2 linked regions of the Canis lupus familiaris genome follow. The protein of the gene in region 2 purifies or fractionates together with the protein of the main gene of each other region. This does not show direct contact. Links are inferred from orthologs where the notes say so. Each region holds a gene or a part of one and is shown on either strand. Other genes may lie near its edges.

Evidence for each region.
Region 1: the proteins of PTPN14 (region 2) and WWC2 purify together in Homo sapiens (affinity purification with mass spectrometry, with the first as the bait; 3 studies listed by BioGRID). This does not show direct contact. The link is inferred for Canis lupus familiaris from reciprocal best matches to the Homo sapiens genes PTPN14 and WWC2.

What each region holds. Positions count from the first base shown.
Region 1 is NC_049237.1:48,002,626-48,006,194, reverse strand, and holds part of WWC2 (protein WWC2), read left to right. Parts: coding exon 1-6; intron 7-3,329; coding exon 3,330-3,459; intron 3,460-3,569. UniProt on the Homo sapiens protein: Regulator of the Hippo signaling pathway, also known as the Salvador-Warts-Hippo (SWH) pathway.
Region 2 is NC_049228.1:12,217,305-12,220,873, reverse strand, and holds part of PTPN14 (tyrosine-protein phosphatase non-receptor type 14), read left to right. Parts: intron 1-329; coding exon 330-548; intron 549-3,569. UniProt on the Homo sapiens protein: Protein tyrosine phosphatase which may play a role in the regulation of lymphangiogenesis, cell-cell adhesion, cell-matrix adhesion, cell migration, cell growth and also regulates TGF-beta gene expression, thereby modulating epithelial-mesenchymal transition.

The DNA.
Region 1 (3,569 bases), on a different chromosome or scaffold from region 2:
GTACAGGTAAGTGGAGACCTTTGCTTGCAAGTTTTCCCCCTTAATTATTTTAAGAAGAATGGTGGGAGGGGTACTATTTCCATATAAACAAATTGTGCCAGCCGCCCCTCTCTGTGTGCTGCTTATTCGTTTTGGCTTCGTTTGAGAAGGGAGTTTTTTATTGATCTACCTGGACTGGACATTTTTTTCTTTATCAAATAAAAGTTACTTTCCCTGCTGAATAGATTCAATCATGAAGTGGCTATCCTAAACTGTCCAGAAACCCTCTGTCTGGTGGCAGCTGACTGGGAGCATGTTTTGTGGACGTACTTCATACTTCCACAAAGATTCTGTCTCTGAAATAGCAAGGCAAGAGAGAGGGGCTTTCTTTTTAAAGTTGGCCTAAAACAGATTAAAACCAAGGCAATTAGCATACCAGCTAATTAGTACCAGGGTTCAATGTTTAGATTGCTCAGGGAATTCTATATAAATACAATTTTTGTTTCATGCCAGACTCTCCCTTTCTGCCTAAAGTGAATTTGGAGAATGCTGGTTCCAATGTAGAAGTATTACCCTGCCATCTTCTGGCTGCATGACTAGTTGCAGCCCAGGAGAGCATGCAGCAGATCCAGTTCTTACTGCTGCCTTTGTATTCAGAGACAGAAATGGAGGGAGAGTTTCATCTTTTTTTTTTTTTTTTTTTTTTTTTAAGTCTGTATCCCTTTGCAAGGTGGATGCTTTCAATATATGACACGTGGTTGTCAAGAGAACAACATGGTACCCTTGCTGGCAGATGACCGTGGCTGTGGTCTGAGGGGGATGGTCTATTTGAGAGCTAGCCTGAAATGAAATGTGAAATAAAAGCTCCAGTCTGGTCCCCAGGAGCCCCGTTCAGATCTACGCACATCACTGTGTGTCCAGAACACAGAAGAGGCTGGTCCTCTTTAGAAGTATTTTCCTGCTGCTTTGAGAAGCCTATTTATTTTGTATTTCTGGTCCGAAGAATTCTATGTATTCACTGATTGGCCAATTTAGATGTTTAAAGTGATAGACAAATCTATCATGTTTGTGTGGTTTTGAATTTTGAATACTGAAGACCAAAACACCGCCTGCCAGCGGCCCGGAGCCCAAGGCAGAGGCAGGGCGCAGGAGACATGCGTGTGGTTCGTGTGGCACTGCCTAGAAGGTGCCACAGCTATAAGTAATGTGTCATCAAAATCATCAGCATCAAAGAAAATAAGCACAGGAGTAGTGTTTACTTAGTGGCTGTAGGAAAGCAGAAGCCGGTGGTGGGGCCTCCCGTCTGCCTCCAGGAAGGAGTGTGGTGTGCAGGGTGCAGTGGTGTGCGGTGCAGTGCGATGCTCCCTGCCCCAGGAGCCAGCCAAGTCCGCACTTTTACTTTGGTGCAAGCGAGCACGAGCACATCACCCAGGCTCTCAGCCTTGTTGTTTCTCCCCTGCAAAATGGGAGTGATAGAGTGTCTCCCTCGCAGAGGATTGGGAGCAGCGACGCCGTCACACATCAAGAGCATCTAACTGTGCCTGGCTCTCAGCATCAGTTCATGGAATTAGTACTACCGTACGATGAGAAGCAATACAAACTGTGCTAAGCCCAGTTGCTGCCACAAACCACTGAAATTCAAGGAAGTATGAATGAAGAAGCAAGAGGAGAAAGTGGAGCCCATATTTCTGGGCTCTGGACTTGAAGGATTTGAGCATTTCAAAGCTGTTTTCACTCTTTGTGTATTTGGAGCATTCTCCAGCGACCACTTCTCAACCACTTCTCAACCCTCGATCAGGAGGGGCTGCTCTGGGAGGCCGGCTGCTGGAGAAGAGGGAGACAAGCATAAGAATCGCCCCGGCCTGACCCCACCCGGGTGCTTGGGCCTCTGCCTGGCGGTAGCCTTTCTTCTGCCACTGGGTCTGCTGCTGCGCCCGAGAAGTCTGCCCAGAGCCCGGTGTCCCCAAAGCTTCCAGGATACAGCTTTTACCTTTCAGATGCATCTTATATTAATTAGAAAGCTGCTCCTAAAAAGTCACCCTAAAGGAATTCTATCCGAGAGCTTTATTTGGAAAGCGTATTGAGTGCCATGTGTAAAAACAACTAAAAGCATATATTTAACTGTAAAGACTAATCCCCTCAGTCAGAGCACCAGCACTCGGTGCGTTGGGGGGTGTCTGACCTCCACGTGGGGGCAGGTGGCCCAGCGTCGTGATGCCGCTCGCTCGTCTCCCTCAGCATTCTGGAGTCTTCCGCAGGCAAAGTCAACTTGCTTTATGTACATCCCGCTCTCTGGCGCCCGTCCCCGCTGGAGGACAGAGACCACGGAGGAATGACTACCAAGTCCTTCCAGTCAGTCTCTGTCATTGTCAAAGTCAATTTGAGCTGCCTCGGATATTCCTGGGGGTAATCAATAAATCATGTCATCACCTTCACCCCTCACAAAGGGGGGTGGGCGGAGAGAGGCACTTCATCATCAAGGAAAAAGCATTCCCACTGCCAGAAATAAAAGGGAAAATGCAGCAATCAATCCTGTAATCTGAAGCCTTAAAACTTAAACATCTTAACAAGATGTAAAGTCACGACTCAGAAGGGGGGCGAAATGCATACCAATCCTGATCCCTGCTCACTTGCTGGAGGATGAAAGAACTCGGCAGGCTCGCAGCTTATTACATAGGAACGCAGCTTTAAATGAATGCTCCTTGCTCACCGCAGGATGCAGTGTATGAATATGAGTTAGAGATAAAAGTTAAGTGGTAGTTGGTGCTAAAGATTCAGTAGCACGAAGTTTTTCTTTTCTTTTTTTTTTTAATGGTATTAGCTGGTGAGGAATTCTATATAAGTCAAAGACTTTTTTTTCTTTGACTCTGTTAAGTGTGGTAGCATGGGAGATGTAGAATATGGCATGTGGAGAGAAGGGGAAGCAAAAGAGGCGGAAACCTTTCTTGCCATTGAGTAGCTAGATGCTCTCTTTTACAGAAATATCTTTCATAGTTGAGGGACGCAGCTAGCTCCTTGCCACCGAGCGTTTGGTAACTACAGGGAATCCCTAACAGAGAGAGCAAGGGGCCAGTGGGAATGTGTGTCATTTATACTTTCCCTTCAGATATTTCAGGACGGAGAGAAATCACATTGTTTCTCAAACGGTGACCAAAATAACTGGCATCCCAGGAACTTCTGTAAGTCGTGATGCCTTGAATCAGCCACATGAGTTGACTCAAACCGTAACCTCCTCGATTCTCAGATGGAAATGTTTTTGGCTCTCTCACAACCAAACCACGTGTGTATTTTTGTACCTAACTTTTCCTAATTATGAATCCTAATTAGTACGCTCCCTCTCCCCTCCCTAGATGTGGAAAAATCATTACCAAAAAGAAGAGTAATCCACTTGCTTGGGGAGAAGACAGCTTGTGTGTCGGCTGCCGTGTCTGATGAGTCTGTGGCTGGAGACAGTGGGGTCTACGAGGCTTTCGTGAAACAGTAAGGACTCGCAGGAGTGCTTTTCGGTTACACCGAATCTCCTCCTAGCTGTGTGGGTGGGCTCTAGCCTATGGGTGCCCTGCCGCCCCGATTCCACTCTGCAGTGGAAG
Region 2 (3,569 bases):
AAGGTTTAAAGGCAGAAGGGACTTTAGAGGAATCATTTAAGGAATCACTAGGACTTTAAGCAGAGGTGTTAATACTGAAAATACTGATTTTTGAATTTCAGCTCTTGCCTGGCTGGTTCTGTTTAAAGCATAAATGAGAAGGAACTTGGTTATTGGTCCAGAGAAACTAGCAGTGTGGTTAATAATGAGACCAAATAATCAAGCATTCGTTCGTTGTACCTCCTGAAACTCCTTATTAACACTATCACTATGAATATATAAAGGATTCTGACTCGTTGGAGTTTTTGGATAAGATAATCCGGAGAGCTCAAGATTAATTTCTGTTGCAGTTCAGAACCCTGAAGAAAAAGCTAGAAGAGGGAATGGTGTTCACAGAATATGAGCAGATTCCAAAGAAGAAGGCGAATGGCATTTTCAGCACAGCGGCTCTGCCAGAAAATGCCGAACGAAGCCGCATCCGAGAAGTTGTCCCCTATGAGGAGAACAGAGTAGAGCTGATCCCGACCAAAGAGAATAACACAGGTTACATTAATGCCTCCCATATCAAGGTAAGAAGGGAAGCGTGTTGGGGAGGCTTGTGGAAGATTGCTGGGTTAGAGGTGGAAAATGCAGAAAGGAAAAAATTGCACGGCTCCGACCCAGCATCTTGGCCTGTCCCCAGCCCCTGAGGGAGTGTTTTTGAACTCCCCTGATTCTTAGTCAACTGGAAGGGCATGCCTATCACTGCAGAGAGAAGGAAGCCCAGCAGCCTCAAGGAAAACCTCAGGTCAGCTATTTCTGAAGCCTGCTCACCACAGAGGATTTCACTCTATCTGTGTGAGTTGTAACTCTCCCTAACGCTCACAGGAAAAGCTGAGGATTGTCCCCTTTGGTTTATAATTAGCACATGATAGAGACTTTGGAAGTCACGGGCATTGTATTTCTCCTGTCGTTGAAGTTTTTATGATGTTCAAGAGCAACAGAAACTTACCAGTTCCCCCCTGCACTACTACAGGTTACGTGTTGTCCAAATTTACGTGTTATTTAGAAGAGTGGGCTCATTTCAACACAAGCCCTGGAGGTGTGGTTGATGATGAATCTTGCAAGATTTGCCACATCATTCACGGCATGAATACCATTCCATTTTTGTTAGTATTCCAGAGACTTCAAATTTTCATGTCTCAGGATTTCATCAACTTTAAAATTAGCTTAGGTCAAGCCCAGCTAGAACTTAGAGTTATAGATACGTGCATGTATGGTTAGCCGTTTCCTAAATGGCGTACCTTCCTCAGTCTTTAGAATGCCACTGTTTGTTCTAAACGTGGGAGAATCTATTCATATACTAATATTAAAGCAGTTATTACAGGATGTTTTTAAATAATACGCAGTTCACGTTAATAGTCTTTTTTGATCATAACCTTAGAAATCTGTTTCTGGCCTTGTTTGGAGTTACTCCCTTTCTTCATTGGACTTTCCAACTGGAGCTGAATTTTTGGTAGATTCCTTTGAGCTTCTAAAATATAGCCAGATGTCTGGTGCATGTTTCTGTTGTAACAGTTGCAGAACAGAATATGAAAAGAACACTGTGGATGAATGCAGGGTTTTTGTGCACAGAACCTAGATAGCTATATGTATATTGTTAACTACCAGAGAGTACGGTCAAAAAATGTGAAGGAATAACTAACATGGGTCATGCTGGGTATTTTAGTTTAACTTTGAGAGTGAGAACTAAAGCTATAAAAAATGAACCTCAGGAAACTCTCAAGTAAACTGACTATGGTCCATTTCCTGGGCTTAATTTAGATGAAATAATAACCAAAATAATGAATCAAACAAAGATACAAATCACACAGCTGCTCCTTGATAGGATGTCTTTGGAATCTTATATAGTTATATCGTACTATCTTCTTCTTTTGGCCAGATATCCTTCATCATTTTCCATCTGTTCTCTGGAAAAGCTGCCACTCTGCATCAAGTGTGCCCATTGGGTATTGTTAACAGAAGCATTCCCTTCCTCTGTATTCTCCGAGGCTTACATTTCATCTTGTGGATCAGGGTTAGACATGGGTGCATTTAATAGACCCATCGAGCTTGCAAGAACTTGTCCTTGTGTTTTTTGGAATAGAGTTGTATATCTTGCCAATGTTTTCTCCCTGGGTTCCAAGCAGCTATTAACACAGAGCAGAGATTGATTTGCTCCAGAGGTAGAATCATCACATCTGTGAAATCTACCTCAGTAGCATTGGTTGTTGTGTTTTTAATGCAGTTTTTAATGCCCTCCTGTCAATACTTGGAATTTGTCGAAAGGCCCCAGGCAGCCGCATACTCTGGAAGTATTTATGGTTCCTATATGTTGGGTGCCAGAGAGGCTAATGTTTAAAATCACAATTCCACAGATAAACGAAACTCCTAGCCAGCCAGCCAATATATGAATGTTATCTCCCACCAGTACTTGGAAAATGGATTTTGCTTGCCAGCTTTGACCTAAACATGTCTTCTGTAATGAGACAATAACTAACATTGTTTTTGTTGGAATCCAGTTAGTATATAGTTTTATAAAATAAATGAGGGGAAAAAAAATTCAAACAATGATCACTTCATGCTCCGAGAACTATCTAGAGATTTGCGCTGGTGGGTGTCTAAGGAGGCTTGACTTTGTAATAATGCCAAGGGACACAGGAATGGAAAGGAACACAGGAAGAGTGCCCCCCAAAGGGCACTACTTCACCCTGACAGTATGACCTTCAACACTTTGGGCACAACTTACTCGTGATTCTCTGCCACTAATATTTATAGCTGCAGAAGTAGCCTTCCAAGATCACCCGGAGCCGCATAGGGTAATAATTTTATTATCCAAAATCATCTCATGGCTCCACAGTTTGTTTGGATACTGTGGTACCACACAAGGGGAAGTTAATAATCAAATATCACGTATTGTTGATGTAAGTGCACCCCGCACACCTGTACCGTATGTGGCACCACAGAATAGCAGAAACAGCGGAGGTTAATGACACAGTTCCTAGCAGGTCACTGGTATAAAGACATCGCTTCCAAAAGGATGTTATTCCATGGTACACTTTGTTTTAGTTGTTTAAAGGGATACCAGCGAGTACTATGCCTCAAACTGTGGATCACAATATAATAGTGGAGTGTGAAGTCAATTTAGTGATCAGGACCAGTTTGAGTTTGTGTGTGTGTGTGTGTGTGTGTGTGAATGTAATTAAGGAAATAGACTAGGAGAAAAGAATAGAAATTATCAGAGTACATTGCACATCGTAAGCATAAGTCTTGCTTCTGTAACAAGTTCTGTTGGGTTATACACACCCATATGGTCATGTAATGTGTGTGTGTGTGTGTGTGTGTGTGTGTGTGTTTAACATGCACTGGTTTGTATATAATTACTGTAAATTACAGGAAAGAAAGATTGGGTGTATTTTAATAGGCTTGAGTGGCAAAAAGGTTTTTTTTTGTTTTTTTTGTTTTTGGCAAAAAGTATTTTTGTGTAAGAATGTGCCAGGGGCTTTTGAATAATGGCACTTAACCCATTTGGCCTAAAAAATATTATCCAGGGTTTGCAGGTAGATACAAAC